Linked DNA regions of Danio rerio. The main gene of each other region encodes a partner of the protein of the gene in region 4 in a complex. Links are inferred from orthologs where the notes say so. Each region holds a gene or a part of one and is shown on either strand. Other genes may lie near its edges. The genes, in order: taf11, taf6, taf12, taf5, taf8, tada3l and taf4a.

The links.
Region 1: taf5 (region 4) and taf11 share a complex: the UniProt entries of both Homo sapiens proteins name them as parts of the TFIID basal transcription factor complex. The link is inferred for Danio rerio from reciprocal best matches to the Homo sapiens genes TAF5 and TAF11.
Region 2: taf5 (region 4) and taf6 share a complex: the UniProt entries of both Homo sapiens proteins name them as parts of the TFIID basal transcription factor complex. The link is inferred for Danio rerio from reciprocal best matches to the Homo sapiens genes TAF5 and TAF6.
Region 3: taf5 (region 4) and taf12 share a complex: the UniProt entries of both Homo sapiens proteins name them as parts of the TFIID basal transcription factor complex. The link is inferred for Danio rerio from reciprocal best matches to the Homo sapiens genes TAF5 and TAF12.
Region 5: taf5 (region 4) and taf8 share a complex: the UniProt entries of both Homo sapiens proteins name them as parts of the TFIID basal transcription factor complex. The link is inferred for Danio rerio from reciprocal best matches to the Homo sapiens genes TAF5 and TAF8.
Region 6: taf5 (region 4) and tada3l share a complex: the UniProt entries of both Homo sapiens proteins name them as parts of the TFTC-HAT complex. The link is inferred for Danio rerio from reciprocal best matches to the Homo sapiens genes TAF5 and TADA3.
Region 7: taf5 (region 4) and taf4a share a complex: the UniProt entries of both Homo sapiens proteins name them as parts of the TFIID basal transcription factor complex. The link is inferred for Danio rerio from reciprocal best matches to the Homo sapiens genes TAF5 and TAF4.

What each region holds. Positions count from the first base shown.
Region 1 is NC_133198.1:380,037-384,034, reverse strand, and holds the start of taf11 (transcription initiation factor TFIID subunit 11), read right to left. Parts: upstream 2,801-3,998; 5' UTR 2,452-2,800; intron 1,413-2,451; 5' UTR 1,348-1,412; coding exon 1,189-1,347; intron 1,103-1,188; coding exon 957-1,102; intron 858-956; coding exon 770-857; intron 1-769. UniProt on the Homo sapiens protein: The TFIID basal transcription factor complex plays a major role in the initiation of RNA polymerase II (Pol II)-dependent transcription.
Region 2 is NC_133180.1:59,077,300-59,080,404, reverse strand, and holds the end of taf6 (transcription initiation factor TFIID subunit 6), read right to left. Parts: intron 3,064-3,105; coding exon 2,872-3,063; intron 1,500-2,871; coding exon 1,209-1,499; 3' UTR 501-1,208; downstream 1-500. UniProt on the Homo sapiens protein: The TFIID basal transcription factor complex plays a major role in the initiation of RNA polymerase II (Pol II)-dependent transcription.
Region 3 is NC_133191.1:38,670,043-38,674,218, forward strand, and holds the start of taf12 (transcription initiation factor TFIID subunit 12), read right to left. Parts: upstream 2,801-4,176; 5' UTR 2,716-2,800; intron 2,276-2,715; 5' UTR 2,210-2,275; coding exon 2,039-2,209; intron 607-2,038; coding exon 529-606; intron 1-528. Other genes in the region: ctps1b (CTP synthase 1b), read right to left, coding at 3,448-3,526, 3,632-3,776, 3,850-3,946, 4,032-4,087. UniProt on the Homo sapiens protein: The TFIID basal transcription factor complex plays a major role in the initiation of RNA polymerase II (Pol II)-dependent transcription.
Region 4 is NC_133176.1:52,734,687-52,738,186, reverse strand, and holds part of taf5 (transcription initiation factor TFIID subunit 5), read right to left. Parts: intron 1,840-3,500; coding exon 1,704-1,839; intron 1,628-1,703; coding exon 1,507-1,627; intron 515-1,506; coding exon 385-514; intron 1-384. UniProt on the Homo sapiens protein: The TFIID basal transcription factor complex plays a major role in the initiation of RNA polymerase II (Pol II)-dependent transcription.
Region 5 is NC_133198.1:35,334,925-35,339,018, reverse strand, and holds the start of taf8 (transcription initiation factor TFIID subunit 8), read right to left. Parts: upstream 2,801-4,094; 5' UTR 2,731-2,800; coding exon 2,683-2,730; intron 840-2,682; coding exon 680-839; intron 46-679; coding exon 1-45. UniProt on the Homo sapiens protein: The TFIID basal transcription factor complex plays a major role in the initiation of RNA polymerase II (Pol II)-dependent transcription.
Region 6 is NC_133186.1:18,282,646-18,286,145, forward strand, and holds part of tada3l (transcriptional adapter 3), read left to right. Parts: intron 1-79; coding exon 80-183; intron 184-283; coding exon 284-384; intron 385-1,140; coding exon 1,141-1,332; intron 1,333-3,500. UniProt on the Homo sapiens protein: Functions as a component of the PCAF complex. The PCAF complex is capable of efficiently acetylating histones in a nucleosomal context. The PCAF complex could be considered as the human version of the yeast SAGA complex.
Region 7 is NC_133186.1:23,089,786-23,093,736, forward strand, and holds the start of taf4a (transcription initiation factor TFIID subunit 4), read right to left. Parts: upstream 2,801-3,951; 5' UTR 2,281-2,800; coding exon 1,584-2,280; intron 1-1,583. UniProt on the Homo sapiens protein: The TFIID basal transcription factor complex plays a major role in the initiation of RNA polymerase II (Pol II)-dependent transcription.

The DNA.
Region 1 (3,998 bases), on a different chromosome or scaffold from region 4:
GGTCGCCACAGTGGAATGAACCGACAACTTATCCAGCATATGTTTTACGCAGCGGATGCCCTTCCAGCTGCAACCCATATCTGGGAAACACTCTTACACACTCATTCACATTACATACAATTTAGCCCACCCAATTCCCCTATAGCGCGTGTGTTTGGACTGTGGGGGAAACCGGAGCACCTGAAGAAAACCCACACGAATGCCGGGAGAACATGCAAACTCCACACAGAAGCCCCAACTGAACCAGCCGAGACTCAAACCAGAGACCTTCTTGCAGGAATAACAATGCTGCCATTTTCTTTTCAGCTTTGTCCCTTTATTAATCAGGGCTCGCCACAGCGGAATGAACCGCCAACTTTTTCAGCATATGTATTCAGCAACCCATCACTGGGAAACATCCATACACACTCATTCACACACACACACACGCATACACTACAATCAGTTCCCCTATAGCGCATGTGTTTGGACTGGAGCACCTGGAGGAAACCCACGCCAACACGGGGAGAACATGCAAACTCCACACAGAAACACCAACTGACCCAGCTAAGACTCAAACCAGTGACCTTCTTACTGTGAGGCGATTATGCTACCCACTGCAACACCATGTTGCCCAATATTCACAAATTAAACTTAGGCAGACAGCCACACACTGAATAATCCAAACAGACACAATATTTACCAGCTGTAAAAGACTTTAATACTTTCTCTAAACAGATTGATCAACTCTGAATTCTTTTTAAGACCTGTTTTTAATTTAAAGACTCACTCTTTTAATAGCTGCCTTAGGGAACGCCGAGCGCCTGTACATCTCATAGCGGTTCAGCTGCTCTTCAGAGAACGATGATACTAAAACTCTGAAACACAAACACGTCTATTAGTGTTATTATCAGTTTACAGCTACACACACACACACACAACACACACACACACACACACACACACACACAGCTCACTGCATCTTCTGGATTTCGTCTTCATCCACTTTGTGGCGTTTCTCCTTCTTCTTGTCGTGCGGCTCCACTTTCAGCTTTTTGGCAGGAGGAGGATGCAGAGATGAAGATCCCTCCTCCTCTTCATCACCAGCATCTTCAGCAGGCCTCTGAGGAACACAGTGATGCATGGTTGATTTATTTGCATGAGAATGAAACTGAATTCATTGAGGATGCAGAATGAAGAGGCAGAGACCTGACTGAGCGTCTTGCCCTCCTCTTTTACAGCAGTCTGTCCCGCAGCAGGGTCAGAGCTCTTACTGCTGCCCTCCGGACCCTCACTGGACCCCTCGCCCGGTTTGGGTCTGTCCACCGATGTGCCCGCTTCAGGTTTCACACGGGCCGGGTCTGCCATGATTTCAGCTGATGGATCAGGGAAAGGGAATGTGGAAATAATGGACACTGCTGTAGTGTGTTTATCTGCAACACATGAGCGGGAGTCCCTGATCCAATTACAACTGAGCACTGCAATAACACTGTTCTAACTCAGAGTGTCTGTTTCTAGTCCAAATATCTAAAATATCTCAAGAAGCCTTGCTTGTGTTTCATGATTGCAATATATATATATATATATATATATATATATATATTTTTTTTTTTTTGTAAGAATTACTCTGGATGAATACTATTGAATGTAAAAAAAAATTACAAAGATTACAAAAAGCAATTATGTAGAACAAATTGTCATATTACAAAAAAAGAGAGCAACCATTCATTACAATTTTTAAAAAATGTTTATATATATATATATATATATATATATATATATATATATATATATACATATATAATTTTAATGCACATGTATTTAATTAATTATTCTAATCAAATGATTATTTATTTGATTTTAATATTTAATTATATAATATACAATCTTTGAAAAGAGAGAGCAATTTGTTGTTGGTTTACAAAATTAAGAAAAAGATTTAAGGAACATTTAAGGGGAAAAAATGTGTAAACAGGCAACCATTGACTTATAATAGGAAAAACAAACCCTACAGAAGTCAGCGGTTACCGGCTTCTAGCATTCTTCAAAACATCTTCTTTTGTGTTCAACAGAAGAAAGAAACTCATAAAGGTTTAAAACAAGTAAAGCAAGAGTAAATGATGACAGAATTGTAATTTTAGGGTGAACTGTTGCTTACAATGTCAATACTGTCATTACAGTTTATAATTTAGTCTGTGTCTTCTATAAAACATATAGAGGTGAAGTTGGTTGTATATTCTGATATTCAGACATTCTCCTCAATATAATGTCAGAAAAGTATTGTAAATAGGGAAATGATATTAGCAGCAAATGACTATCAAAGTACAGCATTGTTCACAGTCAATTAGACAGTGTTAATGTTGTTTACAAGTCATACTTGCATGCTAATTCAGATCCAATATTCAGAGTAACATGCTAAACAATATAGAGACTGCTAAATGCACCAGTGTGCGGATATAAAACCTACTTTACCTCTAAATATCCATTAAGTCCCCATATATCATTGTTATTGATCGTAAACAACGCGATTAAACAGGGCTCTATCTAATGTGCATTAGCTGTATTAACGTTACACTCGGTCATCTTCAATGTAATGATAGTTTACTTTAGGTGAAAACGGTAACTTAACGATCATCGTAACTTACGATGCTATGTGTATTTGGGGCCGGATTTAACACTTGTTAGACAAAATAAAACCGTGAATTCATAAAAAAAATCAAAACATACCTAAGACCGACAACCGCGTTGAAAATAATGTTTAAAAACACAAAAATCCAACGAGTGTTCTCTGACGAGCGCCTCAGACCGACAAAGTAAACACGAGCATATCCGGTTAAACTACAAAATAAGAGTCCGCACAAGCGTGCACAGCCACGTCAAACACTTGGTGGCGCACAATACTATACATTAAAGCAGCGGTTCTCAGATTTCTTTCATCAAGGACCACCTCAGAAAAAATGTCTCTTCAAGAACCACCATAAGGAGCAGTACTGAAATGCAGAAGTGTAGTAGGCCCAATGAAGCAGCTCTGCACAGTTCAAAAACAAGGCAGATTAATTCCTATTAATACGAATATTTATTATTGTCAGCCACTTTAAACATTATAAATAGTTGAAACATAAACACTGTGCTTACAGTTACAAACAAACAAACAAACAAACAAACAAACAAACAAACAAACAAACAAACAAACAAACAAACAAACAAACAGGGACTAATAACTGATTTAATCCATCAAAATTCACTCGAGCTTTTAGTTTAATTGCAGAAACCCTTTAATTATTCATAATTATATATTTATTTGATAGATATTCACAAATGATTAAATCACATTTAATTATTTAAATGTACCCCTTGCATATAGTTAAAATTTTATGCTTATATTTAAATAATAATAATAATAATAGGCTAATTAATGATGTTATTTCAAATTATCCCATTTCAACTAAACGATATGTACCTAAAATGTCCATAAGGAGTATTTGTTTACTTTTTTATTTTATTAACTTGAGTAAATGTATTTTTTTATTTTTCACTGATTTGTTTGTTTGAATATATTGCCCATTTATTTATTTATTTTAATCAAATATTAATTACTTATTTGTTTCATTTTAATAATAAATATAATTTAATATATACAATGCAAATAATAGATATTTGCACTGATTATTTTAGCATGGTCAGGTTACATAAGTCAAATTGTTTCTTTTATTTTAAAATTGATTAAAATGATTTTGACTACTTGAAACCTAATTTTCAAGCCACTATTAATAACAATAATAATACGCATAATTCATACGAACTGTGGCCTCACAGCAAAAAGGTCTCTGGTTTGAGTCTCGGCTGGGTCAGTTGGTGTTTCTGTGTGGAGTTTGCATGTTCTCCCCGTGTTGGTGTGGGTTTCCTCCGGGTGCTCCGGTTTCCCCCACAGTCCAAACACATGCGCTATAGGGGAACTGATATAATGTATACAATATTGTGTAAACAGTAATTATACCCAGGGTTATTTTTATTAAAAA
Region 2 (3,105 bases), on a different chromosome or scaffold from region 4:
CATTTGTTAAAAAAAAAAAAAAAAAAAACATAGTTCACACGAGACCTTCATGTCCAAAAAGATCCCCAATGGAAACCTTAAGCACTACAGTATAAGGTATGTTTGAGGTTTAGTGAATCCACATTTGTTACCCAGACTGCAGTGGCGCAGTAGGTAGTGCTGTTGCCTCATAGCCAGATGGTCGCTGGTTCGAGTCTGGGGTCAGTTGGTGTTTCTGTTTGGAGTTTGCATGTTCTCCCTGCATTCGCGTGGGTTTCCATCGGGTGCTCCGGTTTCCCCCACAGTCCAAAGACATGCGGTACAGGTGAATTGGGTAGGCTAAATTGTCCATAGTGTATGAGTTTGTGTGTGATTATGTGTGAGGATGTTTCCCAGAGATGGGTTGCGGCTGAAAGAGCATCCCCTGTGTAAAAACTTGATGGATAAGTTGGCGGTTCATTCCACTGTCGCGACCCCGGATTAATAAAGGGACTAAGCAGACAAGAAAATGAATGAATGAATGTTGTTCCATGCCTTTTTATTGACATTTTTCCTCACAATTATACAAAACTGTATTTAAGAATGGATTACTTAATAATTGCTAATACCTTCAGTGTACTATTATACTTAATATCTTAAGTTTTATCTTGAGAAAAGAAATTGAACTGATATAACAAAACGTTTGACATGAAAACAAAAAAAAAACACTGATTTCTACAAAAAACATTATAACATTAAGTATTACAAATTAAGAAATGTAAATCACACCTTAAAAACCAACTTTATTATAGAAGATAATAATAAACTTGAAACTGTAAATCAATTAAATTGTTAAACCCAACAAATGCCCAACTATAAAAAACATTGTATTAATGGTGGACCCATTAATTCCTACCCAGAGAATCCACATTTATCATTCTTTCTCCTGTTATCTGCATATATATCCTCATGTACATGAAATACAGCTAAACTACAGCTAAAGCTAGGAGCTCAAAGGCAGAACCAAGTCTTGTGCTTTCATCTCAAATCACAATAAAGGTTCCTTAACATGTTTGTATGTATAGATGTCATTGTTACAGCCTCGATGTGCTTGCAGCCACAACTGTATTGTGTGTCTGTGACATGTATTTGTGTATCTGTGTGTATGTTTGTTTTAAAGCACTTTGATAAGCATCAAGTTACATTTATTGTTGATCTATACCCTGATGGCGTAAGCAAGAGTGAGAGTGTCAATGTGGCAATTGTGTGCTTGTGGCTGGTGATTCTGAACATTCCAGCTTGACTGCAGACTCCATGCTGATAGGTGAGGTAGAAGAGGAAAGGACACCTGAGCCCTTATTATCCATTGATGAAGAGGATGAAGGCAAAGACACCACAATATATTTCTGGATTGGGCGTGAGCTGCCCACAGCACCTGGATTTCCAGACTCCAGTTTGACGAGTGGCTGTAGACTTGTTGGTGTGCTGGGGACTGTACTTGTGACAGGGGATCCAGACTGAGAGGAGCTGAGAGTGATTACCTAGAAGAAGAGCTTATGTCAACAATTACAACAGAATTTACTCGTTTTCTGCAGAAACTATCGGCCAGCAGTTAAACTAGTAGAAATAAAATGTTCCATTAGCAGAAATAAAAAGTCTTATGTGGCTGCATAGATAAAGTGTTGGAGCATAGATGTAGTTTAAGTAAAGTGTCCGATGCATTTGGAGAGAATTTCGACAGGTGGTTTGTCAGACCCCACTGTTCACAGTGTGAAGCCAAAAGGCTTTGGCAATATGTATTTCTTTGTCAAATTCCTTATGAGTTTATGGCAATTTGTCAATGTTTCAAGATGTACAGATGACATTAAAATACATAAAAGCAGTCTTTAGGACCAAGAGCAGCTGCTGTGTCTGATCACAGTGCCATCTTGGATCTTGGAATTCAAGGAATTCAATACTACAGTGCTATAGTCGTGAGACATTTTTGGTGCATTAACAGCGAGTGTTTCCCAGAGATAGGCTGCGGCTGGAAGGGCATCTGCTGCGTAAAACATATGTTAAATAAGTTGGCGGTTCATTCTGCAGTGGTGACCCCAGATTAATGACTGAATTAATAAAAGTGAGTGCATTTATGAATGTATGAAACATATATGAAACCTTCTGACAAACTAATCTAGCACAAACTAGTGCTTAAATGTAAAAAATGCAGTATTTGAACCTCATAAAAAAAAAAAAAAAAAAAAAAAAAAAAAACTGGATTGTACATTTAAGCACTGGTTTCTGCTTTATTACCTTGTCGCAAGGTTTCATAATGTGCAGTGCATAGTGTGCACCATGGGTCTATATAAATTCAGTGACACAACATGCACCAATGAATTACGATAGACCCACAAAACTATGCTATCATCTCCCTCCATGATTTGGTTTAATAGGATTTTTGAAAAGCAGGTGGGGCAGGGGTTAAGAGTAATTTGTGATTTAAACTAAATTAGAATTATGGAAAGGCTCAAGGTCAAATTTCTGTAGCAATACACCACAACTTATGTTATAATTACCTTTCTTCAGTGGTGATGTCATTATGCGCACCATTTTATTGGTAAAAACTAGTTGTTGAATGGAAATAAGTTAAAGACAGCTAATGTTTTTTCTTACAACTACATTGTTGGAAACAAAAAACTGGGAACTTGACTTATGCCATGGTAAACCATAGATTTTTACTATGCATTAAGGCAGTTTCTAAATATAAAATAGGTTTCTTTGTTTTATTCCCAAGTTCTTTAAAAAAGTAAAACTATTTTTATTTTAAATAAAAATAGTACAATTAAAGGTTTTCTTTTGTATGTGGGAAAACAATCTTTGTGAAATAAAATTTTGTTATATTACATATAACACAAATTACTTTAAAACTCTTACCTGCTGTGTGGATGCAGCCCCTGCACTTGTTGCCATAACAATATACTTTGTTGCTGGGGGTGATGGCTGAGTGGGTGTTCCAGGTCGAGTAGACATGAGGGTAAGTGAACTGGGTACTTTAATTATGCTGGGTGTACGTGAAACACCTGATGTTGACAATCCACTCTGAGACATTGTCAAAGTCGGACGTGGCTAAATACAAGACGGAGAGAATTTAGGTTTGATGTGTATGAT
Region 3 (4,176 bases), on a different chromosome or scaffold from region 4:
ACTTCTATAGAGCTTAGTGACATTTAAAGGCCTAACTAGATTATTTAAGTTAACTAGGCAGGTTAGAGTAATTAGGCAGGTTGTTCTATAATGATGGGTTGTTCTGTATACTATAAATATATAGCTTAAAGGGGCTAATAATTTTGACCTTAAAATGGTGTTTAAAAATTAAAACTACTTTTACTCTTGCCGAAATAAAACAAATAAGACTTTCTCCAAAAGAAAATAATATTATCAGACATACTGTGTAAATGTCCTTGCTCTGTTAAACATAATTTGAGAAATATTTAAAAAAGAAAAACAAAATTCAACAGGGGGGATAATAATTCTGATTGCAACTGTACATCAACTGATTATTTCCCTAAGTGTTTTATATATCATTGCAATTAAAATCCCATTTGTTTCTCACAAACTCAACTATTTATTATTCAAGTGTGTTTAAAATGGTAATTTGGGCAACAAACTGACTAGTCAACAATGAATGTGTGAGAACACTTTTGAACATCATCAATAATAAGACACACGTACTTCTTCCACATCCTCATCAAGTTGCTCATTAGGGTCAATTTCTCGAACAAGGTCCTGCAGCTTCTTCTTACTGAGCACCTGTAGGGAGGACAATAAAAATACATAAATGTCAATATATTTTTAAATTGGCTTAAAAAAGTCTATTTTCACATATAGGTCTATCGCAAATATTGATTATTTGTCTGATCTTTGTTATTTGATCTACTTTCAGGTGTTGAAAACAGGTTTTTTTTTTTTAAATGAGGGAAATTAAGTGCATAAACAAATTAACATGCTTAATATACATTTTACCTGTAAATGACAGCTTGTTTTATTTCTGTGAAGACCAAACTAACAGAGAACCAAAGATCTTCTTTCCCACATATATTGTTATATTATAATATCATATAACATTATGATTGCTTGGTTTTATATGATTTTTTATTTTAATATAAAACGGACCAAGACTCAAAATTTTAACTAAAAAAATACAATTTGAATCTTAACATTTACCACACATTAATATAATTTAAATATAAATATAATTAAAATGGAATTTAAATTTAATTCTAATTTTTATATTATTTTCCATAGTTTTAAAGCCATACTGGCCTATATTTAATCATGTTTCAAAGCAAAATAAAAAGTATATATGTATATAAATAAATAAAATTATTCTAAACTGTTAAAAATCTAAATATTTTTAAAATTATTTGCTTGATTAGTAATCATCAACACAAAATTTTCAATCATGATAGGTATACTGCTACATCCAAAGCTACGGAAGAGTAGAAGTGCAAATCATGATAGATTGAATGAAGCAAAAATGTTTTGACAAAAATAGTCAAACAAATAGTTTTTAAAAACATTTTATTTAACGTTACACAGTTTATTATAGTTGCTACTTTTTATTTTGCTTTGAGACAAGGTTAAATAAGCCAATATGATTTTACATTAATAATGGGGAAAAATGTTATATTTAAAAATTAAATTTATATTCAATTTAAATTGTTATTAATTTTAAACTATATTAATGTAGTTAAATGTTAAGATTTAAATTAGATACTGTTTTGTTTCATTTTTTAATCTAGGTTCTTTTTACATATATAATATAATATAATATAATATAATATAAGTTTTAAAGAAGAGCTTCGACTGTGTATTTGCTTTCTTCTCTAGGTTTCCGCAGAAATGAAATAAATGATCATTTAGAGGAAGGAATGTTTTTATGCATGTTCGTGTGAAAGTAAAAGTTGGTTCGCACATTCAAACTTTCTCAATAATATAATTTCAGAAAAGTATTCTTTGCAAATTCTAATAGTAGAAATCTTATTAGTAGCCAATGACTATCAAAGTACAACATTGTTCACAGTCAATTAAATAGTGCTAATATTCTTTTGTAGTCATACTTTGATGCAAGTACAGACTGAATATTCGTAGTAAACAATATAGGGACCGTCTTACTGAACAAATATCCGAAAATAAAACCAACGTTACCTCAGTCTTATAATAGCTGTACAGTCTGACCCACCTGAGGTCCTTCTGGGCTCAGTCTGCCTGCTGGTCCGGGGGTGCCGGGCAGTTTCCCCGGAGCGACCGTGCTGTTGGCCATGCTGCTGGACAGCGGCGGTGTTGAAGAGGCTTCTGCTTTCACAACCGTGTAGAAATTCGAGCGACTGGTCTGTGCTGGATACTGGGTCATACTATGCTAATCAAGAGATGTCAAATGTCACAAGCCTCTTCAGAACTAGTGGGAGTTTTAAATCAGCTGCAGAAAAAAGATATTAAGAGTTCAACTGAGTTTAATCAATGCATAAATACATTAAGGATATTAAACGGCTGTTTTAAGTAAGTTATATCAACGAAGTGAAGAACTTTTAGCTCGATAGAAATAAACATCACCGAACTGTCATTTGCTGTATATGCTAGCGTTAGCCTTTTTGCTTCGCCAGTGTGTTATGACATAATTCACTTAAACTAATTGATAATGTAAGTGTTATGCTGATATTAATGTGATATAATGCAAATTACCAAATAAGTATGGTTTTTAGTCTGAATTTCTTCATAGTTGTTGTTTTTAATCATCACACTGTAGCTTAACATATTAGCAGCTAACATTAGCGAGAAAAACATTCGTGCCAATACACGTCTCGCGATGCTTTCCTTTTGTTTGATGTAATTCCGTTTAATTGTTAATCGTTGCAGTACCTGATGCAAATAATTCTGTATTATCTTTCCATCTTCGACGTTTAAGGTCTGGAAATATGCACAAGCCCTTCCAAGTTGTTTTTCCTTCTACAAGCGCCTCTTCTGACGAACGGAGCTCAACCGAAGTATCGCGAGATCTCAAAAGTCTTACAAAATAAAAGCACAGAGAAGTTGATGAAGCCTTCTGGAAAATGATCTCTTCCAAATTGTTATTTTATTTGGTAAAGTAATAGTTATAAGTGGTAGAGTGCTCTCTCTCTATATATAAAAATCCCCTAGTTTGTAAAAACAATCAATTTACATATGTATTTGCATAGACAAGTTCAGTGAGCCATTTTAAACACAGCTCATTGTTATTAATGTCAACTCCTGATAAAACCATCCAAGTAATACTAGTTATGATACTCGAAATACAATAAATGTTAAATATTTCATAAAACTTTTAATATATAATATTTCAGCTAGTTCTGTATAATAAAAAATTACTTTAATATACAAATTAAAATTATTAAAACACATTATTTCTAAAATTTTAATTAATTAAATAAATTAAATTAAATGAAAATGTACAATGAATAACTATAAATTATCACTTCTATACCACTGTACACAACACACTTGTTCACATTTTAAAACCAACACATTAGCATTGTTATCCATTTATTTAAATTCATACATTCATATCATAAAACGTCATTCATGTGTTTTTATGATTAGGTGGGTTTTTCCTTTTTAAGAAAGCGATGGGAATTTGAATTCAGAGATTTCCGAGTCTGGTGAACTAGTGCCGCTTCGGTCACTGTATGCGTCTCTGAGAGAGAAAAGGAAAACAAGATAATAAGACAACTTACACAGTATACTGCATGTCTCCACTTTAAATTAATTTAGGATGATATGAGTTTAAGAAGCAACAAACCGAGGTGAGAGCCTGCATCCTTTCTGGAGGTAGTTTTGCAGTTTCCCAGACGCTGCCAGCAGAAGGCCGAAATACGGTGGTGAGGGTTTGATCGGGCGAGAAGTGAATTCTGGATGGTACTGCACTCCAACAAAATACGTGTGATCTGTTTGGACAGAAGAAATCAGTTGAAATGAGCACTGACTGACCGCTTTTTCAAATACTAGACGATCACTGACCTTCAAGTTCAATGATCTCCATCCGCTCCCCCTCTAGGTCCTGACCCACAAATCGAAAACCTCTATCCTCGAAGTGGTGCTTCAGTTCTGGATTCACCTGGAAAAAAATGCAAAGATTACTAACATGAATAAATAGAAAACAAAACATTTACGGTATTTTAGAGTAGATCTTTATTGCAAACCTCAAAGCGGTGTCGATGCCTTTCGTCCACGTATTCAGCATCTCCATACAGCTTTCCTACAACAATATAATTCAAATATTATCTATATGCACTTATTTAAATAGAATGTACATTTATATTTGTGACATATGATTTTAAGATTTTA
Region 4 (3,500 bases):
CATGACTTTATATTCTATACTGTACATTATTTCTTTTAAGTGCCAAGACTTTTGTTTAGGTGAAGTCAGACCTTACTGTCCTAATTACATAATTAAAAATCAAGGTATGATCACATCTTATTTTGGTAAAATAAGCGTAATCTAGGGGCCTTTTCCTTTCATATAAGCTACTTCTGACACCAAATGATAAACTAGAAGTCAAGTTATTATTTGTTGTTCCTTAAACTTGGATAGACAACAAGACTTTTGTCAGGTAGTGTACAGCAGCTGAAAAAAAAGATAATAAATCATGCAAGAATATTTTTAGGGGTGGCAAACTCTGTTCTGATTTAAGTTCTGTCTAACTTATTTAACCATGAATTGTTCCTCTAATTTTCTTGATACCTGTCTGGGCTGAAGCTGACCCCATACACTGGCCCACTGTGACCATGGAGGATCTTAGACTCGCTGGACGTCTTCTCATCCATGATCCTCTCTAGAACATCATCTGACTCTTTATCAATCAAATTCAGGTCTAAAAAAAAAAAAAAAAAGAATGGTTGGCACTGAAGTGAAACAAGACATCATACATTAGATTTTATATACATTATATATACACACACACACACACACACACACACACACACACACACACACACACACACACACACACACACACACACACACACACACACACACACACACACACACACACACACACACACACACACACACACACACACACACACACACACACACACACACACACACACACACACACACACACACACACACACACACACACACACACACACACACATATATTGTTCAGAAACGCTAGTGTGGACGCGGATTGTTTTTGATCTAAAACGCCGTTTTAAAACTAAAACACACAAGTGTAAACAGGGCCTTAAGTTGCCAGCACAAGGGAACAGATCTCAGATAAAACTACAGTGTTTGAGGGTCAAATGTAGATTTAGTTTATGGTCAGCTAATGAAGACCACAGACTGGCATTGTGCAAACTAATTATAAACCTCAACATAAGAGTTCTGATTTATTTCTTTGGTAGACAATAACTCCATTTGATCTTTGAATCTCTGCAGAACTTTAATATTTCCAAACAGCTACAGAATATTTCTAAACTACTTGACCCTTGTATGCTGTCGGGGATGCTTTCATCCACTCTGAGGTGATTTTGAGTCTTTATTTGGCAACAACTTTATCTGTGTGTCAGCAAATGCAACATGTTTCTAATTTGGGGAAAATGCTTTGAAATTTTTCAGAAACTCTGGGCAAATTTACTACCCTTTCGTTATGTTGGTGGCTGTTTTTGCCCCATTGACTTTCATTATAACCAAATAATCACCAAATACATCATGCAATCTTAAACTGATGTTGGTTTTATCTGTTTGGAAGAGGTCAAATTTGACATTTTTACTGTTGATCAATTTAAACAGTACACAAAGGATAACAAGATAGTATCTGGGGAAAACAGTGGCACTTAAAGCTTTAACAGAGACACGTACCTGCAGCAGATTTGACTTTGCGTAGTTTTTTGGGTGTGACGCTCCACACGCGGACTGTAGAGTCTGCAAAGCCCCCCGCTATCAGACTTGAGTCATCGGTGAAATCTACTGCTGTCAAGCCCTGAGCGATGACACACAATCAGCACAGGCAATGCCAAACAACACCAAACGGAACCATTAACAAAAATAACGCCAACCTGGTAGGCGTTGAGGAATGTGTAGAAGCAGATGGAGGGCAGGGTTTCCGGGCCGAGGCGGATTCTTTTGGTGCTCTCCTTCATGTACATGATTTTGTCCAGTTTATCCGAGTCCTTCAGCTCTGGCAGAGGGATCCTGTCAGACAGAGGTTATGAAGCTACAAATGCACTTTCAAAAGAAATCTAAGCATCGCTTTTTAGCAACATACTCAAAAATTGGCAGAGTTTTTTAATGTTTTTGAGAGAAAACACTTTAAGAATTCAGATTTGAGATTGATTTTAAACATGTTCTCATTTTTGATTTATGCTCATCTTTTGATACATAGACACTGTCTACACTGCCAGGTAAATGTGACAATTCAAATGTTTAGCTCATATGTGACAGATCAGATCTGTTCTATGACTATGTAAAAATGAAAAAACACATGCATTGGGATATTCAGAGATCACTTTCAGGCTTCCTTCATATGTGGAAATAAATCGGATATAAATCGGATATGCGACTATCATTTAAACAGGCAGATCGAATTTATTGAGGCATTTCGTTTTGTATGCATAGGTCATTAAACTTGCGACACTGTGGTACTTCTCAGCGGTTTAATGACATAGAAAGGAAGAACATGCGTGGAGATGCCGACATGAGGAAACATTAAGGAGGAAAGTGGTCAGTGGTCGAAGGCAGAAGTTACCTGCATTCTTGCCCTGTGGGGAGATGAGTCAGTTCAAGAAAAGATTAAAAGGTCCTATAGAAATAATGAATGGAGGACACCATATATAAACCACAGGCGCAAGCTGCGATTACGGCCCTTTCCCCTCCTCTTCCGCCTCAAAATTGTTTTAAAGTTGGGCGAACTTCACATATTTCACAGAGCTAAAAGTAAGACTTTCTACCATGGTGGCTAGTGTGACGCAGATGCTAGAACCCGCCTTTATGGATGCGCGTAAATTGCACGGCAAGTGTAAACACATGAATCAGATATGAGTCACAATTAAAAGAACGTGTAAACGGACAGGCCAAAAAATTAGATATAGGCAACAAATCGGAATTGGGCATCAAGGCCTGACAGCGTAAACGTGACCTCAGTCTGCATTTTTATTGCTTTACATTAGACACATTTTCACTTACAATATAATCTTTCAAACTTTTACACCATAAAAACTCTCATTCCTTTATTAGATTTAGCAAAAACGATAATTAAAAACTATTAAAAACTAATATTGCGAAATATTATTTAGTCCCTGCAAAAAAAAAAAATTTATTATTATTATTTTTAGGGTTTTTGCTATATTTGCAGCAAATCTTACAGCGTTTTCTTTTATTGTTAATTCTTTATTAATTAATTGACCTCAAGAACCATTGCTTTCTTTCTTTCTTTTTTTTGACTTAAACTTTATTGTGTTTTTAATAAACATGGTTACCAACAATGGTAATAAAAAGAATTTCTCAACATTGACTTGGTTCAATGTGTATAGCATGCTTGATAACAATATGAAACAGAAATAAAAAATTACAAATTATATATGTACACAAACAAACACACACATATATATATATATATATAAATATATACATATATGCATACAGAAACCTGTAAATAATATGAGAGAAAAAAACTATATACAGAATGTCAGAGAAGTATATAAATGAAAAAAGTGTCTACTAAGATTATTGTAAAACATTAAACAGAAAAATATATATATTTTAGTAGTTTCTCCTATGTTGTTGAATTAAATCACTTAAGTTTTAATAATGGAGATCAAATTGTCATGTATTTGGTTCCAATGAAGGATTGTTGA
Region 5 (4,094 bases), on a different chromosome or scaffold from region 4:
TGTGCTCACAGTTTGCCTTTGCGCAACGTCCAACTTCTGTTATATCTATCAAAAGACAACAAGACTCTTAAAAATCAAAAAGTACCCAATTCACCTACAGCACATGTCGTTGGACTGTGGGGGGAAACCGGAGCAAACATGAGCTCTACTTATTAAAATATATTTAAGAATAAATGGTCATACTAGACACACAAAAACATGTATTTATCCATTTATGACCTATTAATAAACTATAACTTAGCAGACAAATAAGTAAACTAGTAATCTAAATAAATAGTGAACAAGTAAAAAGATTTAAAATGACAATAATTAAAATTTTTGGGAGCTACACTTTTCTAAATACTGTATGCCTGACAAAAAAAAAAAACTTTTTTAGTGTATACAATATTAGTCTTATTGACATTTCAGTGATAATTTATTTGCTCAGATTAATATATTTTTAAATAGACACATTCTAATGTACAGAAAAGTGTAAAGTAATTGTATTGTTTTGTGAGCTTTTATTCAACTATAGCTCAATTTTGGTTCCCAAACTGTGGTTAAATTAGAACATAGAACCATAAATTACATACAAATACACACAAACGTAAAAAGTAAAACGCGATGATTTGTGATATTGGTATGCATAAGCTTTTAAATTTTGTCAAGATGAGCTGCTTAAAGTAAATGAAGGACTCACAGCTCTGCATCATCTCAGTGAGTGTCTCCACAACAGCTTTCTCAGCGCTATCAAAGCCACACTCGGTCAGCAGAGCACTGACCACCACTTGCAGCGTGCGTCTCCGAGCCAGCTGATAGTTCTCTGTGGGACTGGTGCAGGTCTTACTGCTCCCCGAGCGCTGGAAATAATAAAATAAAAGATGATAAGAAGGTTTTACAGATCAGGAAGTTTTAAAACATATCTGCATTTAATACAGCAAGGCATTTCTTTGAAAATGCAATAAAAGAGATTAAGTTAGGGCTAAATGAACTGCATTTATTTGAAATGTTTTACAATTAGTATGGTTCCTATACTGTAAGCTTCTGAGTTTTTAAAAGGTTTCAAAGTTTATTCTAAGATTAGTGTTGAAGAAAGAGGAATTGTATTTAGTGGTAATGACTAGGCCCACACGAAATCTGCGCGCGCAGATTTTCCGCAGAATTTCTGCAGATTTTTAGCCCATCATTAATTCTGTTTATTTACTTGAGTAAATGTGTAAATCTAAATTTATTCAGTTTTTATTCAGTAATTTATTACTTTTTGTTTCATATATTAAGGTTTTAGTTTTGATACTCCGCTGGATACTCCCAAAATAATTCTGCAGAAATCCGCAGATTTTTACCAAAAATCTCAGCAGAAATAGCAAAAAACATCTGCAGATTCCGTCTGGCCCTAGTTATGACTCATGAATATAAAACTTTGAAAAAATAATGGAAAAGTTAGTCATGTAATTAAGTTTTTATGAAAATCAAAACGTTTTGAGGTAGATTTACTTTACTGGAAATTACTATAACTCACATTGTGGAATCGTATGTGATTTTAAGTTAATTTCTGCTTAGTTAAGTTGGTTTTATATGGCACATTCATAAAGTGACAACTTGTGAGTCGCTATATTGTTTTCCATGCTACTTTGATTATTAAGTGTAAGGGATCAACCTATATTAAAACATTGGTCAGGGATTTATTAGGTCATTTAAAGGAACCAAATCTTGAAGATCTGAATTACTTGATTCAACTCAATTGAGTCAAACTGAATCAGATTAAAAGCTTTACCTACTAAATCTACCATTTGTCCAGCAAATAGAAGACATCGTATTTTACCAATCCTGTTTAAATTAATTCCATGGCCAACGATAACATAACAGTATTGGGTAAAATTTTAGCTAGGTAATGACTTCAAAACAACATTATCACTGCTGCTAATAGGATTTCCCTATTTAGAATTTGCAAACAACATGTTTCTGAACTTATATTATTAAGGACAAAGTCTGAATGTGTGAATATAAAGCCACCTTTACCTCAATCTTTGTTAATGTTTTTTTATTTTTTATGGATGGATCCTTAACAAAAAGTTAGGGATTTTGTAAGGCTGTGCTTATAATTACTGAGGCAAAAATGCATCTATTGCATTCATTTTTGCATCTGAGAATCTGGTTAAGATTACTATTCCACTGTGGATTGCATTAAGAGTGTGGTATTAAATTATGGTATGTAAAACTGCCCATTCCTGTCAATAATCTAGTTTACTGTTAATATATTATGCTAACCCAATTCTCCATGCACAATAACTTGTCATTATGAGTGACATTAGCATTGTTTCATAGAAAACTCCTGCTGGGAGAAAATTGAGTTTGTACAGTTGCAGTACAGTAAAGTTTGTGATTTTCGGCTTTAACAAGACGTTTACCAGTTATATAAAACACTGTTTGACGACACTGATCTGCAACAGCTCACTATATAATTGATATATATATATATATATATATATATATATATATATATATATATATATATATATATATATATATATATATATATACAGACGTGTTTACATACGATACGGTGTCTGCTTTAAAATATATTACACAAGTGCCTTTAAGTCTAATTTTGATCAAAAAACTAAAGTTAGTATTGTTTGGCTGAGCCAGCAGGGTGAAGGAAAGAGTAACGTTAGCGTTAATGAAAGGAGATATTTAACGTACGCTTCCGGAGTTTAAAGATCCGCTCCCCATCATTACCGAGTCTGCCATTTTAGAACTCTAGTGGTTTTTCCTCTGATGTTTAGCATTCGCAAATAAACTCATTGTGCGTTCTGCGTTTGCTAAAAACTGTATTTGGTGTTTTTATATTGGGCGAAAATGGCAACCCTATCAACATTTCCAACAGGGCGACCGGAAGGTTGTTGTTTTCTGTGCAATTCCAAAATAAAAGTCAAACAAAGAAATAACTGTTGCATAGCCATTTCCTAAAAATGAAAGCAAAAGTAGAAATTTGCATTTTTTGAAGTCATCGTCAATACGGTATTGTAGCATGCTCATAAAACTTTTATTAAGTTATTCTAAAGACTTCTAAATATGTTATCTTTATTTTTATTTTAATGATTTGAATAAAAGAACCATCACACACGAACTAGCTGTTAATGTTAATAGTTAAATGTCGAACATCTTACAGAAATGTCAAGTCTTTTAGATAACAAAATGTTCACATCCTTGCTTTCTACATGATTCTTTAGTAAAACGGTAAACTGACACAGAAGATTTAATTTTTAAGTTCTGACCTGAAAACGAGGTACAAAAGCTAGGTAAATCAGTTTTAATCCTAGTTTTATTATAATATTTGAATCGTGGGAGTAGACACAAACACCTCAGACCTTAATGCTACCAAATTATTATATTATTTTATGTATTTTTCATATAATTTGACATGTTAATGGGTGTCTGTGTGTTTTTATGTTCTGCGGAGCAGGAATCTGCTGAAAAACAGCATTCATGCTGAGTCAGGCCCAATTATCTTTTAATCTTTTCATGTTAAAAAATTATAAATAAATAAAAATTTTCCATGGAGAGCACAGATGATGGTTGCTTAGCAAAGGCTGATACCACAAATGCTTTGAAATGAGTGGACAAAGCGAGACAGACCAACAAGGCTTTAAAACGGATGAGGATAATAAACTTTCATCATGATGATGAACTAAAATGTCACATAAGTGCAGTAGACATGATAAAACCAAAACAATGTCTTGTCTTGAGAATATCTGAGAAAGACTGTAAAGGACCCACTTTCTTCTGGAAATAGCTCATTTGCATTTAAAGAGATGCACATTTTTTGGGTCATTTTTTTTTTTGCAGCATGACATAAAAAAATAAATGATCTGTAGCTTAATTTGAGCTGTAGCTGCACATTCTGTGGACACAGAAATGCATTACGCCTATTTATTATGAAGCAAAATTGGTCTCCTTTATTGTGTCTTAGTATATCCGGTAGATCTGCATTCTGCATATGGGGCAGAAGGTTTAGCTTAATGTGTTAAAGGTCAGATTTGCCAATCAAAATGTATCATTGTGAAGCAATCTCAAATGACAATATTTCTGTAGTAAATTTATATTTATTGATT
Region 6 (3,500 bases), on a different chromosome or scaffold from region 4:
TTTCAATGGTATTACATGACCCATAGAGTAACCCTGTTTAAATCTGTTTCTTTTTCTTGTATTATACTGCCGTGTCTAGATGTAGATGCCCTCCTGAAGAAATCTGAGTCTCAGCATGAGTCTCCAGAGGACGGATGCCCCTTCGGTCCGCTCACTCAGCGACTTCTACAAGCTCTTGTTGAGGTCTGCGACTCCTCATTTGCAAATTATATAGTGCAATACTTTCAGCTTTTTGACTGCTTGGTTTATATCAGTGTTTCAGTCATATTCTTTTGTGATGTAGGAGAACATCATATCTCCTATGGAGGATTCCCCCATTCCAGACATTCCAGGGAAGGATGATGGAGCTGGTACGTCACCTCGTAGCCAGGGGAAAGCCTTCAGGTAAAAACAAGTCTTGTCACTTGATTTTCATAATTTTTGTTTTAGAATTTAGTCAACATAAAGTTGACTTTCATAAGATTTATATTAGCTTGTCTATTTTGTTTATTTGAAAAAGTTACTGCTGTTACTGTAAGGCTGCATTAATTAATGGAAAATACAGTACGATTTTTATTATCTTCTTAATATTACACAATCTTTACTTAATACTAAACTATTGTTATGGTAAAATGTGATCCTTGAATAGCATCAGTGCTACAGGATATTTTTGGTTGTTATGTCTTGCGCTGAGTGTCTTGCCACAAGCTTTCAACACCTCCAGAAACCGTCTCTCTAAAAATTTCATTATATTTTTAACAATTTTTTGAAAAGAAGAACACATCTCATGCAAACACAAATGCAGTAGAATATAGGATACATCATAAATATATATATTTATGGCTATATAGAGCCAATTAAGACTGATCAGTCAATTAGTTGTTCAGGTAAGCTTCCAATTAATTGATTTAAATAGTAAATATAGTTATTAAAGAAGTAATAAATAAAATCAGGTGTCATTTTTATTTTTACTTTAACATCTTAGTATTTAGTAGCACTAATGGTGGCTACTAGTCAACGGCTACACAAAGTAAACATATATAACATAGCAAATATTTAGCTGACTTTGCAATATAGAAAGTCTCATTAGTTTAGATCAATTAGTAATCTTTTATTTCTCCGTCTTCGAATTCTGCTGAATTGAGCATTTTGTGTGTTCAGTGTACCTCACACACGCTCTCTGGAGGCTCGTATAAGAGAAGAGCTGGTGTCTCAGGGGCTGCTGGACTCTGATGAGAGGCAAGGGGTCGGAGGAGAGTCTGAAGATGAGGTGCTGGCCGAACTGCAGAAAAGACAAGCTGAACTTAAAGCACTGACCGCACACAACCGCTCACGCAAACTGGAGCTGCTCAAGTGAGTCTTGCTGAAACACATCAGATCAACATCAAGACTGTTATTGGCATGAGATATCTGGTAATCCGGCTCATGGTTTAAGTAAACTTTAAAATCTGCATGAAATGCAAATTAATTGCACTGAGAAATAAAGTAGCCGTATTTCCATGCGAAGATGCAAATTAAATGCATGCAGAAAACTGGAATATCACATAAAAGACATGCGAATAAAGCAGCGTTTCCATCCAACGAGTCAAAGACAACAAAATTGTCACATCCTGATTAAGTTTCGCCAAATATCAACAGTAAAAATTGAATTTGTTTTTGTTTTACAGTGTGCTCAGCCAGCTGGTTTGTTCATTTACACACGTTTTCATCATCACATAATCTCTTATAACAAAATCGCATGACTTTTAATGCGCACAATAGAATTTATTTGGTAGCGTTTCCATCGCAGTTTATGCTAATTTTTTCCTGAATAAAATGTCCTACTCAGTTATTCGCATGTCTTATGCTCATTTTAAAATATTTTGAGCCTAAAAATAGGTGGTTAGAAACATAGCTACAGTGGGTATAAAAAGAATAATCCCCCTTCTAAATAATTAGATTTTGTTGCATTGTAGCCTGAAATTAAGACAGACACAGTTTTTTTTTATCTAGGTGAAATTATTCAGTGCAATGTGTAACATCTATGTAAAAGATATAACACCAACATGTCAGAAAACAATTAACAAGCATAAAAACAAAATCACTCAGTTGTGAAAAGGATCACCTCCTCCTAAAAATTTCTGGTAAACTCAATCAGGTGTAGCTAATCACCTTCTTAACGACACACAATGCCATTTCACTTTCATTGGTGGTCAATTTGATTAGCTCAGCATGAAAATAGCTTTATTGTAGCATTTTAACCCTAGGTAGTGCAACTGAAGCAAACCATCAATTATGGGTGGCAAGACATTGTCAAAAGATTCCTGGGATAAAGTTGTGGCCAGGCTTAAGTCAGGGGATGGATACAAAAAAAATTCAAATGCTTTATCAATGCCTAGAAGCACAGTGAAGTCCATTTTTTTTTTAAAAGTGGCTGGTATTTGGTACAACACAGACCCTTCCTGGATCAGGATGTCGCTCCAAATTGAATGAAAGAGCCAGGAGGAAAATGGTTAGAAAGGCAACCAAGAGGCCTACAACAACTCTGAACAGTTGCAGGAATTTATGTCAAAGAGTGGTCATTGTGTGCATGTGACAACAATATAAACAATTCTCCACAAATGTGGCTTGTATGGAAGGGTTGCACGAAAAAAGCCTCTTCTCAAGAAAAGCAACATACAGACACGACTGAGCTTTGCCAAAACGCAACTAGAAGATTCTGTGGCCATGTGGGAAAAAAAATATGGTCAGATGACACTTAATTTGAACTATTTGGCCTCAACACCAAACGATATGTCTGGCGGAACTCCAATACAGCTCATCATCTAAATAACACCGTCCCTATCGTAAAACATGGAGGTGGAAATATCTTGTTTTGGGGCTGTTTCTCTGCAGCAGGAACTGGAGCACTTGTCAGGATAGAAGGAAAAATGGATGGGGCAAAATACCGACAAATTCTTGAGGAAAATCTGCTGCCCTCTGCCAGAAAGTTATCATTTGGAAGAAGGTTTACCTTCCAACATGACAACAACCCAAAGCACACAGAAAAACTGACCACACACACAGTGGTTAAAGGAGAAAAAGGTGAATGTCCTGGCATGGCCAAGTCAGAGTCCAAACTTAAACCCCATTGAAAATCTTTGGAAGGACTTGAAGACTGCAGTCCACAACAGACACCATCACATTTTAACTGAACTTGAACAGTTCTGCAAAGAGGAGTGGGCTAATATTTCAAAGTCAAAGTTAGCAGAAACGTATTCCAACAGATTAAAGGCTGTAATTAAAGCACAAGGTTATTCAACCAAATACTGAATCAAGGGGTGATTCTTTTTCCAACCCATTGATTTAGTTTTTTATATGTTGATTTTTTTTCAGACATGTTGGTGTTATATCTTTTGGTTGGGTGTTATAAGTTGCACTAAGTAAACACAGGTAGATTAAACAAAAACTCTGTCTGTCTTCATTTCAGGCTACAATGCAACAAAATGTAATTATTTTGAAGGGGGGTGATTCTTTTCTATACCCACTGTACTGTTTGTTTT
Region 7 (3,951 bases), on a different chromosome or scaffold from region 4:
TTTACACATTTTTTTATAATTTCTTAGAGCAATAGTATCTTTAGCAGAAAATGACCCTCCAAAAATGCCTTTTCAAGTTGTAAAGAAATCTGTGTTTTTTAAAAAAAAAAAACTATTAAACCAGCAGAAGTCAAATAAAATATATTGTGCTTAATGGGGAAAAAAGTTGTTGTTTTTCACAAAGACATTTAAAAAAAACATGAAACTGTGAAATTTTTATCCAGGTTTTTTTTTTTTTATATCGTCATACTTATACCGGCCCATGCCTAGTTATGGGATAAGAAAAATATCAATCTGTAAACATATTCTATATTTTAAATGGGAAAATAAACATGCATTATGGATGTGACCAAAAAGGTTTACAGTACACAGCACACTTTGTAAAAATTCTGTGAATTAAACTGCACAACCCAAAAGAAATAATGCTAATCAAAAGAATAAGAGTTGGCCCACTACAGAACAAAAATGATTAATTTTATTTGACATTTTTGCATTTATGAGTAAAAGGCTTTGTTATGTATGTGACACTTTTCAATTATGGATGTGACAAATGTGAAATTGCCAATTGTGTGACTTTAGTAAAGCAAATAAAATAGTTTGAAACACTGACAGAGACATGTTTGAGTATTACTATTAAATACTTGCTTACACTGAAAAAAAGTGTAAAAACGGTTTCTCTATTTAAGTGAAAACTTTATTTCTTTCATGGCAAGGTTGACATTTGCATGGAATTGCTTATATATGTGAAATACCAGAGCTGTATATACTTTTTTTGTGGTTGTGAAGTAATTACCTACACATAAGCGTGAGTGCAGACAAGGCACTTGTAAGAAAGTAAAAGAACAAGGCTGAAGACTGAACAGTGCTGACTAAAATTACCCAAATGGATGGTCAGACTACACTTCTTGTTAGATTTACATCTATTATTGTATATGAATGCTGAAGACTGGAATCACATTTAAGAAAGAACTTTGGTGAACTCTGACCCTCAAATTTGTATAATCTGAGATGTGACCTCAGATGACTTTGTACATGAATTGATACAAATGTACATGAATGAAGAGTAGCTTATTTTATGAATTATTGATATATATTAGAGCAAATTAAAAAATATGCCACAGAGTAAATATTAATAATTTAAATTAAAATATAGTTAGTTTTTGACTAAAAAGCATGGAGAGGACTTTAACATCAATTTGCTTTCAATCGACTTATAAAGACACAGTTCACCCAAATATTACTAATAATCATGTTGTTGGAAGTCTGCAGGACTTACTTCTCTCTTAATAGAAAGAAAAGTCACAAAGAATGTATGGAGACTGAAGCTGTCAATATGTCTGACAGCTCCTATTGAAGAAAGCGAGTTAGGCATGTTCGGAGTGTGTTTTAGATAAACTAACTTTTAATTACACTCTAATGAAGATATACTTTTGTTTTATGCACTTATTTTTTTCAGTTTGCAAGTATTTCAGGAGAGAGCAAACTTCACACGAAACCAAAACACTCCTCGTAAGTTTCTCTATACACATATCATGTCATTCCAGACAACATTCAGGGAAAGTGCTAATGTGAGCGTGGGGTACCTGGAGGTAGCTGGATATTCTGGATGTTCTGGCCCGGGCTGCTCTGAGGGAGTCGGGGCGCTAACACCTGTGGCGCGCTGGCCCTGATGGTCGGGCTAGATGATGCTGATGCTGCTGCAACAGTTGCCGGAGCTGCGGTTCTCGCAACCCCCTGCAAAACAGCCCCCTTGGCCACTGCAGGGCCGACAGTCATGCTGCCTGCGGGCTGGATGATAGTTTTAGGAGACTCGGACTTGCTCGCGGTGACAGGTGCAGAAGTCTGGTTCAACAAAAGAGGGGTCGTTGTAGTAGTAGAACTAGTAGTAGTAGTTGAAGTAGTAGTTATTCCCGGGGTCGCTACATTGGCTACAGAAATGGTGGTATTATTATTACTTCCGTTAATAGTTAAACCTGCTCCAGCAGTTTGCATAGATGGCCTGACAACTGTCACTAAGGGTCCTGCACTGGATGCTGCGGCTGGAGGAGTCCCGAAAGAAGACTGTATCACTGTGTTTGGGCTTGGGGCGACCGTGACGTTTCCGAGTCCTTTCGCCACCCCGGGCCCGTTATTAACAACCGGGACAGAAGTTGAAGCGTCGTCTGACGATGATGATGATGGACCACTGGACACTGGAGTGCCGCTTTCAGTGTGCGGATCCATTGCATTGCCTCCGTTCAAAGTTTGCACTGTGGACGTCCCGATCAAAGTAGTTACCATAGCATTAAGAAAGACCGGATCGCCTTAGCTGTCTTCCATCTGTGCCTCTGGCACATCAGTTCAGGAAGTTTGGGTTTTCATCGGCTTTTCCCTCCAGTTGCTTTTCGAAGGAAACAAGCGTGAGTGAATGGGAGTCTCGTGTCACAATGTCAATAAGGATTTGACAAGCGCCCGTGTCACCTCAAGTCCATTAGTAACAATGCTCTTGGGAGAAATAATCATCTAACACACTTGAAGAGCGACTGCTTTCATTATGTTCATATGTACAAGAGCTCGCAAAATGTCAACATTAGCTAGTTGAATTGCCTCTTTTCCCGGAGTCAGCGGGGTGATTTTCCGGCTGCCTGGGCGCTTACCTCAAACTTATTATGGCAAGATGTGGAAACGTCTAATCTAATACAACCTGAAGTGTCGGTAAAAAGTTTCTTTCCCACTCTTTTAATACAGAAATCCTTATATAGCAGGTCAAAGCCTGCCGCCATCTTCGATGTGAACAGTGAGGAGCTTTGGATAAAATGACATTGCGCATGCGCGCAAAAGCGGAAACGTCATTACGCTGAAGTTTTGTGGAGCCGCCATTGGTGGTCTCCGTGCGTGGAGGCGGGACATGAGAAACGTCAGTTGATTCTGGCGGAGCGCGGTCAGAGTCGGTCTGTCATCGAGAAAAGGGCCTTGTGAAGTTGAAAAACAACCGTTGAATTATACGGGCGCTGCTCTCGGTTGTGTCTAGAGGCACTTATAGCTGTTATGTGCGGGTTATAAAGCATGTAGAGGCTGTTGTGTGAACTTCACAGCGGGCTGTCTTCCCCCAAGATGGCCCCGTGTTTTGAAGCGTCTGTGTTGAAAGCGTGAAAAGGCGCCACACCTCTGCCAGCGTGACTGGCCATAGAGGGCACGCGTGCTACTGCAGCCATAGTTCACAGGGTTTCTGGTCACACGCTCAATCTTCACTTTAACTTATGCTACACTTTTTCTGTCAATGTGCACAGCGTTGCATCGGGATAAAAAGTCTGTATTTTGCAAGCACGTTATAAATAAAATATGGCTGATTAAATAGTCAACGAAGTGACAGAAAGAACCAATAGAAAGCTCTTTCTTGAACCAATAGTACCTAATTTTTTTCTAACATAATGTGAGCTGACACATTTGCTCTCAAAAGTCCTCCCTTATTTTTATAGGTGTTTTTTTTTTATAATTTGATAACATTTTGTTAAAATAGCAATTAATGAAACTTATATAAAAAACTTTATTTATCTGTGGTTGCCACAGCGGAATAAACCTACTTATCCAGCATGTTTCACGCAGCGGATGCCCCTCCAGCTGTAAACCCATCACTGGGAAACATTCATACTCTCTCTCATTCACACTTATACCCTACTGACAATTTAGCTAACCCAATTCACCTATACCACATGTCTTTGGACTTGTGAGGGAAAACCAGAGCACCTGGAGGATACCAACGTTAACATGGGGAAAGCATGCAAATCCCACACAGAAATCCCAACTGACCCAGCTGAGGCTCGAACCAGTGACCTTCTTGCTGTGAGACGACATCGTTAAACAAGCATCACTAAATATTAGTCGTGTTTTTCTGGTTGTTTTCACTATTTCTAATCATTTCAATTAAGGATGAGAACTTTAACACTTAACATCTATACCAGTGTACTTTAC